3 linked regions of the Oryzias latipes genome follow. The protein of the gene in region 1 binds, or shares a complex with, the protein of each later gene. Links are inferred from orthologs where the notes say so. Each region holds a gene or a part of one and is shown on either strand. Other genes may lie near its edges.

What was found. The genes of interacting proteins can lie anywhere in the genome.
Region 2: the proteins of yap1 (region 1) and smad7 are in contact, whole or in part, in an NMR structure (PDB 2LTV), measured with the Homo sapiens proteins. The link is inferred for Oryzias latipes from reciprocal best matches to the Homo sapiens genes YAP1 and SMAD7. Residues at the interface, in NP_001123617.1 of Homo sapiens: Thr241, Gln242, Asp243, Tyr247, Ile249, Asn250, His251, Lys254, Thr255, Thr256, Ser257, Trp258; in NP_005895.1 of Homo sapiens: Ser206, Pro207, Pro208, Pro209, Pro210, Tyr211, Tyr214, Pro215, Met216, Asp217.
Region 3: the proteins of yap1 (region 1) and smad1 are in contact, whole or in part, in an NMR structure (PDB 2LAW), measured with the Homo sapiens proteins. The link is inferred for Oryzias latipes from reciprocal best matches to the Homo sapiens genes YAP1 and SMAD1. Residues at the interface, in NP_001123617.1 of Homo sapiens: Glu237, Ala239, Met240, Thr241, Tyr247, Ile249, Asn250, His251, Lys254, Thr255, Thr256, Trp258; in NP_001003688.1 of Homo sapiens: Thr222, Pro223, Pro224, Pro225, Ala226, Tyr227, Leu228, Pro229, Pro230, Glu231, Asp232, Pro233.

What each region holds. Positions count from the first base shown.
Region 1 is NC_019871.2:6,499,837-6,503,491, forward strand, and holds part of yap1 (transcriptional coactivator YAP1), read left to right. Parts: intron 1-1,595; coding exon 1,596-1,714; intron 1,715-3,655. UniProt on the Homo sapiens protein: Transcriptional regulator with dual roles as a coactivator and corepressor. Critical downstream regulatory target in the Hippo signaling pathway, crucial for organ size control and tumor suppression by restricting proliferation and promoting apoptosis.
Region 2 is NC_019870.2:9,747,065-9,750,009, reverse strand, and holds the end of smad7 (mothers against decapentaplegic homolog 7), read left to right. Parts: intron 1-1,523; coding exon 1,524-2,059; 3' UTR 2,060-2,395; downstream 2,396-2,945. UniProt on the Homo sapiens protein: Antagonist of signaling by TGF-beta (transforming growth factor) type 1 receptor superfamily members; has been shown to inhibit TGF-beta (Transforming growth factor) and activin signaling by associating with their receptors thus preventing SMAD2 access.
Region 3 is NC_019859.2:18,368,595-18,372,249, forward strand, and holds part of smad1 (mothers against decapentaplegic homolog 1), read left to right. Parts: intron 1-1,386; coding exon 1,387-1,620; intron 1,621-2,434; coding exon 2,435-2,691; intron 2,692-3,655. UniProt on the Homo sapiens protein: Transcriptional modulator that plays a role in various cellular processes, including embryonic development, cell differentiation, and tissue homeostasis.

The sequences.
Region 1 (3,655 bases):
TTTGACAAACCGTAGGGGGAAGAAAAAACCTAAACAGTCTGAGACAGTGGTTTACAGAAGATATTTTTACTATCTTCTGTGCTCAGCTTGGAGAACCATGTGTCCTAGAAGCTTTGAAGCTCTGTGTATCCAGCTATCTGTTTTTATTTAGTTGGATTTCTGTTTGGTGTGCCAGGATGTGCAGGCCTCTCATGTACAAAAAACTCTCCCATCTTTATTCCGCTTCTCCTCTACTCTAAAGTCTCCTCCCTAGCGTCTTGGTTTTTTTTTTCCCCTCCCCTTTTGTTACAAACACTGTATAGTCTCCCAAGATGGTTAGGGCGGGCTCTCTCCCCGTCTGTGTGACTCATGTAACCAATGGAATTCAGTCCGGAAAGCTTTCAGTGGAAGTTTTGATTTTTAACTCTTTCGTTTTGGCCGGCTCCTTAAAGGACGCGTCCGCTTGCAGCAGCTCCCACTGTTTTGCTTGGTCTGCAGTGTTTGTGTGTGAGGGCTGGTGGGGGGGAAGGTTTGGTGGTGGGGGAGGGGGGGGGGGGCAGCTCCTTTGATCAATAAAGCATAAATGAGGGGGCTTCAAAATGGGTTTCATTGTGTCAGGGGGAGGAGTGCTGAGTCAGGCCCTCTCACTCTCTGGCCTGGGACAGAAAGCAGACAGGCAGGCTGGGATTACGGCACAGTCCGAGAGAAACTTTTTGAACCCCTCACTACAACCATCTGTTCCAAAATCCTGCCTAATGGTGCCTTGAGATCAAATTAACCACGAGCTGTAACAACACGGAGTGGGTGGGAAAACGCATCCACAACATGGGATGTGTAGTTCAAAATAAGAGAATAGTAGCTGTTACACTTTTTCGTAAACCCACTCTGTCATTAAGTTCGGTACCTTTTTATGTCCGATGAGGAGCTCCCTAAATAAAAATAAAAAGACAACAAAAAGTAAAAGAACAAGTGAATAGTTTTAGGTCGTAGCTCAGTCTGCGCTTTTGTCAAGCAGGTGAAAGCTTTGTAAATGTGGCGCCAGATTGTTAAAGCCCCTGACACTCTGCAGTGTCCGAAGCGCTTCCAGGGAAAAAAAAAAGAGGGGGGGGGGGGGGGGCCTTGTGTTGAGGCCTGGCACTGACCCTCCCTCAATAGAGAGGGTCCTGCTTGGAAGAGAAGGGTTTCCTGTATTAGCTTTCAATCTTAATCAAGCAACAAGTGCCAACAAAGCACTAATTATCAATGCCTTCACAGTGCACACAATGACCTCTACCCCCCAGCTCCCCTGATCCCATCCCAGCGAAGATAGTGAGAAAATAGATGAAGCAACATTGTTTGATGTGACAATGGTTGTTTTGAAACCAGTTATGGCCTCTTAGATAGTCCCAAATTGTCTTTTTTGTTTATTTTTTGCCATCTTTTACCTCTTATATTGTTCTTGTTCTGTCCAGATATGTCGTATGTGTAAGTATGAACTCTACAGGTGAGGTTGAAAAACAGGGATTGATTTCATCAAGGAGTCCCTCTTGAGTAATCACTCCATGTTTGCTTCTGGTCTGAATTTGCTGCTGCAAGAAACTGATTTTGACTTTTCTGTTATTTTGTTTTTTCTACAGCCACATTGATCAAACCACCACTTGGCAGGATCCACGCAAAGCCCTGCTCCAGTTGAACCAGGCTACCCCTCCCAGTACCGTTCCAGTTCAGCAGCAGAACCTTTTAAGCCCAGCTAGTGGTATGTACTCTTGCTCCTTCTTAGTTTATCACTTGTAGTTTGTCATTTCATGTTTTTGTGGATTGACTTCTAATTTACGCCCCAATGAAGGACATTTGCTTTCATACAGCGCACACTCGAATCCAGGTGTAGTCTAGTTCTTACATGTCACCACCCGGAGTGCCTCAGTTCTGGCCATTTTGTTGGAATTTGCCCTAGGTGATGTAAGACTCAGGCGTAAAGTTACACCTCCTGTCTGACATGTTTTGGAGCTCTGTGGTTCACAGATTAAAAGTCTACAGATAGAAGTTTATCCTCCTCACACTGTTAACTTGAGAGAAAACATAAAAATAACCCGGGCTGCAGACCAAAAAACCGGTTTGTTTGTCACTGACATAACAATTTACTCCAAGATAAAAGTTGCAGCTGATCGTTTCCTTTGGTACCTGTTCTTTAAATATACCCTGTTAGGCTTTTTGAATGTTTGTCTAAACTTGAACGCAAATTACCTCTTCAACAACATTGGCTGAGAGTATACTCACGTTTGAAACGCGCAGCTATGACAGGATCAAGCTCTGTCATTTGGGTTATTGTTGCCTTGCTACTCTTTGTTAGTGAGTCAACTTTTTTGTCTTTAGTTTTGACTCTAAATTGATTTTGACAACAGTAAAAAGGTTTACTGTTTAACTGACTTTACATTTGGAGCTTTTTTGTTATCGTTAAAAAGCAATAATTGAAGTGGCATTGAGATCGTCTTCCAAAGTACATATTGGGTATTGTCCATCATGATCAAAAGGATGACTTAAACTGTGCAAAGTTTAAACACCAGGTTTCCATCTTGAGAGGATTTTCTTAGTGTAAGGTGATAACATCGCCCGTGATTACTTATGTCAACATTGGTGTTGAAGTTTTGTCAATTATTGTCCAAACCCATTCATTTATTCTTTACATATTTTGTGATAGCTAAGGTTTAAAGCTTCCTGTAACCTCTCCCAATTGTCTTTGGGTAAAGATACACCCAGTGCAAGTTGATTATCAGCAGAATTTTTTTTTTAACCAATATTGTCGCAAAAAGCAATGGGGCAAAATCCATAGCTTCCCATTTTGTCCTAGGTGGCATTTTAACCTCTAAGGACACGTTCACATTGGAGCATTTGGTGTGGAGTAGAGTTCCTCTGAAACCTCTGAAAGCTTTCTTAGCTCTGCAAGTGGGAGAGCTCATCTGAATTCTTAATCAAGCAAATACTGGTCCACTTGAAAAGCAAGGGCTTTGGTTCATTTGCAAGCAAATGTTGGTGCTGCCCACCCCAATATAAATGCAAACGCTACAACTGATGTGGAAATAACTCAAGGAACGAAAAAACCATACGTTTTATATAGTTTCGTGGTGTAATGGGGAAATCCAGGCGTTCAATAATATGCGTTAATCAGAGATTGAACAGTACTAGCCTGTTTTCCTGTCTGTGCCCTTTTTGCTGGTCAGTTCTTATTCCTGGTAATAACCATCCCAGACTTTCAGCTGTTGCAGCTGTATGACTTTTCCCTCTATTTGGTACACTCAAGTGAGACAGCTAACCCCAATAAAGGTGTGAACATTTTTGGAATAACCCACCTAATCAAAAGCAAGTCAACGGGAGTATTTTATTGTGAAAGCACCCCCACATCAAGGAAGTTGGATGTCTAGTTACATTTGACGCTGATGAACCGACACATAAAAGCAGAATTCAAAGTAGCTAGCCAGAAAAGATGCAAACCTAAAATAACAAAAGGTGAGTATATCCTCAATGCTAATGTTTTTATCGATATTTCACTAAATACTCTGTAAATATTGCCTTTCGCGAAATCGCCAGTTAGCTGTTGCTTTGTAACGCTTGGTTTTTTTCATCATACTTATTGGACACTTACTACATTGGCATTTAATCTGTGTGTCCTTGTTTGTACTACCATGTATTTACACTTCTG
Region 2 (2,945 bases), on another chromosome or scaffold:
TTTATCCACCTGTGTGTCTAAAAGACATGTCAGGATCGGAGGCTGACATCTGCAGGAGACACAAAGTCTTATCTGGGAGATAAATCCCTCCTTTTCCCCCCGTTTAGATCGCTGGATGTTTTGTTTTCCTGTGCACGCCATGAGATTTAAAATAAAATCCCCCTCTGGCTCGGTTTGGTCCAACTTCAAAGGACACAAGCCCTTCTTGCTTTATGGAGAAGCATGCTTTCAGTTTGCGCCCCCCCCCCTTCCCCATCCTCGTCTTCCTCTCCTAATGTTGTCTTTTTCCCTCCCCTCTCCCTGCATTTAATGAAGGCTAATGACAGGCCGTGCTAAGTCAGCTTGGACCGGCAAAGATCCTGCCGCATTACCATTACAGTTAGTCTCAGACGGGACCTTCCAAATTACCGGTTACATTCCCAGCTACTGCCAAATGAAAGAGGGAGTCAAATGAGAAAGATGTGTGCTGGGAGGGACTTTGTCTCCCCTCTTTTTTTTATGTAAAAACTTGTTTCGACGGGAAAAAAATCCAGCAAAGAGACAAATCCAGATAAGAGAAGTCGCAACAAAGAGGTGGGGACCCTTCAAAAGCTTCAAAGGTACCTAAAGATCAGGAGAGGGAAGCAAAAGTTGCAGAAGTAACAGTCAAAATATGTGAAAAGCATTCCTTCTCTGCTCCCCGCCCCCCTCCCTGTCTCCCTCCATTTCCCTTGCGCCTGACTGGCTCCCACTTTTCTAGCTGAGAGCCAGATTTCTGCGGAATAGAGATATGAAGGGCGAGGGGGGGACGGCACAGGAGGCACTCCGAAGGGGGGGAAACAGGCGAGGGGGGGAAGGAGTTTGGAAACTAGAGCATAGCCATTTCTACACTTCTTTTACACCCAGGGGAAACTTTAGACCGGTGAGGCCTTGCTTGTCAACGGTCCAGACACCAGAGTTCGAGAGTTAACGGCCTGTCTCAAACGTCTGCCGCGCATGGTTTATGTGTTTGTGTGAGAGCTCTTCATCTGGTTGCCGCCAGAGTCATCCTAGCTTTATCTTTGTCAATCAAAGATGGGTTTTTATTTTTATTTTATATCCTCCAGCAGAGTGAGAAGTGTTGCTGTAGAGACGATGAGGACGGTAGGCTGACGTCAGTACATTGTTGGCAGTGCTGCTACAAAAATACAGTGAGCCAGACAGAAGATAAGCATTTAATGCCTAGATAAATATTGTAGTACATGTGGAAACTTGCCTGGCTGTGTCTCTGGGTTGATTTTCTTGTCAAAGATCCAGGAATTCCGACATGGCTTTCCTGCATGGCAGAAATTGGGGAGGACAGTTTTGTTTTGGCTCCCGACTTAAGAGAAGTCGCAATTTCCCAAAACAGTGATAAAGCATACTTTCTTCCGTTGCAGCAGATTTCCTTTTAGATATATTTGACATTTGAGTTTTCTATCCACTTCTCTTTGCACCTCTTTACTTATTTACCATAATCATTGATGTTACTTTTTTTATAACATTCTATGCTTCCTCTTTTTCAGATTCTTTGGCGTTGCAGGACTCTGAGCGAGGCTATTGGTGCGTGGTGGCTTACTGGGAGGAGAAGACACGCGTTGGGCGCCTCTATTCGGTCCAGGAGCCCTCTCTGGACATTTTCTATGATCTACCTCAAGGGAACGGCTTCTGCCTGGGCCAGCTCTGCTCCGACAACAAGTCCCAACTGGTGCAGATGGTGCGGAGCAAGATCGGTTATGGCATCCAGCTGACACGCGAGCCAGACGGAGTGTGGGTCTACAACCGCAGCTGCTACCCTATCTTCATCAAGTCGGCCACACTGGACAACCCAGACTCACGCACGCTGCTGGTGCACAAGGTGTTTCCTGGATTCTCCATTAAAGCTTTTGACTATGACAAGGCCAACAGCCTCCAGAGGCCAAACGACCACGAGTTCACGCAGCAGCCTCGCACAGGCTTCACGGTGCAGATAAGCTTTGTGAAAGGCTGGGGACAATGCTACACCAGACAGTTCATCAGTAGTTGCCCATGCTGGTTAGAAGTCATCTTCAACACCCGATAGCAGCAGCCTTTTCCCTCGTCACCCTCATCCTCGGAAAAAAAATACTTCACCCATCTTTCTTTTTTCGTTCCAGCGGCTCAAACACAGAAAAAAAAGGATTTAAAAGAAGAAGAAGAAAGTTTAAAATCCTGACAGACTTTGTTTCATAATTGACTGAAATTTAATTAAAGAAGAAGTGAAAAAAATGTATTTTATGTTAAATATAAATATATTATTAATTGTAAATATGAAGATGTTTTATATGCATCATTATTTATGTATTGTGCAATGTGTTGATGAGAAAAAAACAAGATGCACTTTGCTTAATATAAGTACAAAAACAAAGAAATGCCAAAATAATAAAAAAAAGCCAATAATATTTTGTATTCAGTCTCTTTGGTTTTTCCTTCTTTTGGGGGGATTTTAACATTATTATTTTACCAGCCTTCTTTTTGCACAATTTTCAAATCAGTTCATTAAATTGGATCCACATGTTCCCTCCATAAAGCCCCTCTAATTTTGTCTTCTTTATAACTAAAGTCAACATTGGCTTGACTTAGTGTTACTAAAGGGCTTTTAGGCCATGCCGTGTATCTTAAAAGCAATTTCCTCAAAGACAAAAATGAGTCAGACTTTGACAGAATCCCATCTCAAAGCCCCCTGTTTCTACAGCCTCATCATGCCTAAAAACTGTCTGTTTTCTTGAGTTATTTGGGGAAGAATGTCTCTCATCTTCTCTGTCATTACCTGACTCATGACATCACAGCCAGGAAGCGGTAATGGCGATTGTCAGGAACCAATAAAGTCAACAGTGGGTCCAGGTTTCTAAAGGAACCAGTTTATTCAAATGTTTGGTTAAGAGAAAGGATGAAGATTTTTTTTGTCACATCTATGAAAAGTAACTATG
Region 3 (3,655 bases), on another chromosome or scaffold:
ATCTGTGAGTTGGTATATCCTTACACCCCTAGCTACCTGTGGCTGGGAGTTTCCTAGATTCATACCTATATTTGGGTATCGTGCTGCCACCCTGACAAGTGGGAGTGTCCAACTGCGGTTGCACATAATATCACAGCCCAGATCACATTCTGTTAAACAGCTTGAGCTTGTGTTGCTAATCTAATTAGTGGTAGTGACCTCCACTAAAATATTTATGCAGGAAAAATCCTGTTTTAAAGATCAAAAACTTAAGGATGTTAGTCTATGTGTTCATATACTTTTAATATTTTTTGACTATGACGCCTAAACTCTTCATTCCATTATTAGTGACAGTATTATGAAAAAATATTACGTGCAAAAATGTGATTTCATTAATATGAAAAAGAAGCATTCAGCTATTGCTAAATCAAAAAAAAAAGATGGATGGACAGAAAATAAAGACACACTTTGTATGCTTTTGCCAAACTCCAATCTAAATATTCATGACTATCCCTAATCAGACTTACAGCACCTTGTCTGGGTACTCTGGATTTTTTTAATTTTGTGTTTACTTTTTTCTAAAGTTGCTCAGTTGTCTTTCATCATCTTCAGGTTCAATGAACTAGAAGTGTATCTATTACGCAATAGGTGGGAACACCTCAATAGTCAACAGAACGGACTGTGATTGGCAGCCAGTTGTTTCAAAAGGAATCCCACACAACAGAACTCCGGTCCACACAGAACCAAGGTTCTTATTTTTGTGAAGCGGCTGTGCTCAGTACCCTCATTCATATAACAATAAAGGTCCAGCTCATAAACGGCTCATTTATACAGTTTTATTTTAAAAAGCCTCCCAACTCTCTTGAATAATATCAGACCCATGTATGTTTTTTTTTTGTTTTTTTTGTTTTATTGCTTCTACAAATGTCTACAATTTTGCACACCAAATCTCAGAGATTCTGGACACTTCTACAGATAATGGTACCGGGCGCAGCTGCTCAAAACAAATCTGTTGCTGGAAGTGGGAGTTGGTGCGTCTTTTTCTGCTCCACAAGCTGCATCCTGCACCGGAAGCAGGTTTCTATTGTGTACCAGCTCCAGTTAGGCAAAAGACAAAACACACCTGCCAGTCAGTGCCATGCTAAAGAGGGATTTTGGGAGACATATGTACCTAAATACACATGATTTGTTCCTTTCAATTATGGGATGGGGCCAGCTCAGAACTCTGGCAAAAGTAACTGGAAATCCGGAATGACTGCGAACCTTTATGATGAAATTATTCATTTTTTCTGCTTCAAGTCTTAAAGATATTATGTTTTAATATTTAAAAAAACGATTGATGAGATTCTGTTGTAGGAGTGAGTTAGAATTGATGTGGACTGACTGACTATGTTGGAATGTTCTCAGTGTCCTCTCCAGATGTGCAGCCAGTGGCTTATGAAGAACCCAAGTACTGGTGCTCCATTGTTTACTACGAACTCAACAATCGAGTAGGTGAAGCGTTCCAGGCTTCCTCCACCAGTGTTCTCGTCGACGGCTTCACAGATCCCTCCAACAATCGCAATCGATTTTGCCTCGGCCTGCTCTCCAATGTGAACCGGAACTCCACCATCGAGAACACCCGACGGCACATTGGCAAAGGTAATCCCGTAAGCAGGTTCCTATGGAGCTTAGCTTTTGTTTCTGATATGAACACACAAACCTTAACTCAGTAAAATGGAATCACAAAAAGGGGGGGGGGGGGGGGGGGGGGGGGTTCAGACCAGGGCAAAGTAAAGACCATACCGTTTTAAAACCAGAAATATCACTGCGGACACCTAAATATAACTCGCTCTTTGACCTTTATTTGCATAAACAGTTGAGAAGTGACGGTAGTTGAAACAATGTCAAGCTCAGGTGGGAAAGGGTTAAGATAAGATAAGATAAGATAAGATAAGACTTTATTTATCTCATGATGGATAAATAAAGTCCATCATGGACTTTATTTCCAATAAAGTCATCCAAATAGCAAATATTCAGTAGCAAATATTTGATTATTAGTACATTAACCAGATGTGTAACTGGATCCCTTCTGCGTTGTTTAAGGAGTAAAAAGATGTTGGGACACAGCAGAACCCATGGAGACCACCTCTATGAATTGCGGATCTGACAATTTTCCCAAAAGAAAATAGAAACCACAGTGTTAGCATCCCGTATCAGCTCCTCTCCCACGGGACTATAAAACAGAAAGGGCAGGGGATAACGCATACCTGACAATTTTCTGAGAAGAAAATGATATATAATAATAAAAAGGTACAAGGTACATTAAGCCCATTCATATTTTAAGTGAGGGTCTGCACCAGGATAAAAAAACAAAAATGTCACCTTAACATCTGACTGTTTTAGGTTCATGGCTGATGATTCTGACATTGAAGTTATGGTGATTAAACGTTTGTCTCTCTGTTTCACCTCTTAGGCGTCCATCTGTATTACGTTGGAGGAGAGGTGTATGCAGAATGTCTAAGTGACAGCAGCATATTTGTCCAGAGTCGTAACTGTAACTACCAACATGGATTCCACCCCACAACTGTGTGCAAGATTCCCAGCAGATGCAGCTTGAAGATATTCAACAACCAGGAGTTTGCTGAGCTTCTGGCCCAGTCTGTCAACCATGGCTTTGAGGCAGTTTACGAGCTCACTAAGATGTGTACCATCCGCATGAGCTTTGTTAAGGTGAGTTGGTTCGGCGAGACTGAACGAGAACAGGAAGTTGGGGTTGTCCTTAACACTCTCCCCCCTTAGTATGATCTGTGCTGTTATATCTTTTCTATTTATTTTAATGCTTTGCCTGTAGCCTATTTTTTATTAACAGTTATTTTAATTGTCGTCTTATGATTCCTTTATAAATGTTATTTTTAGCTTTTAAGGTAGACAAAGAAAACAGATAACAAATAACCGCCGGGCAAATTCTGGCTTATTGCAGGGATGCTTTTAAATTGAAATTGAAATTGAAGTTAACTTTTATTGGCAACAACAACCACAGATGGTTGGTGCTGCCTGTACTTACAGGTTCCTTTTGTAGCATAAATGCAAATGTCTGTCTGATGTTAAAACCAAATTGATTATCAGTAGAAAACATAAAACAATTAAAGTAATCTGAGTTATGTTGATTTCAATTACTATTTGTATAAAAAAACATTTGTATAAAAAAAGAAATGTTTATTTTTTCATCAGTGAATCCCTATTTGCAGAAATAAAAGTTACAAACAAAATACACAGATTTGCATCGTTGAGCACCAGCTGTTTCCAGCATCACTTTAAACTACTAGAACTGTCAGGACACGGTTTCCCACAATGCACTGTTTTGTAGTGATAAGGTGCCTCGCAGATACAAATTTAGTACTGCGCTGAACTGGGTAGGCGCATTGCACCCGCCCTTTTTTCTCGAGATGCTTTTATGATGATTGACATGTGACGAAGCATAAAACTAACCAGCATACACCGCACAGCAGGTGATCTGTGCAGCACTGCGTCCGCCTGGGGGATATCAAACACTATTAGATGACTCTGGTGATCACACATCCTGATAGGCTGAAGACACTTGATTTAGGTAGATTTAGGTAGTCCCGGGAGAGCTGGGACACAGGCAGGATTATGTAAATTATGTAATCCTGGAAACATTTGTTTTTAAATATTT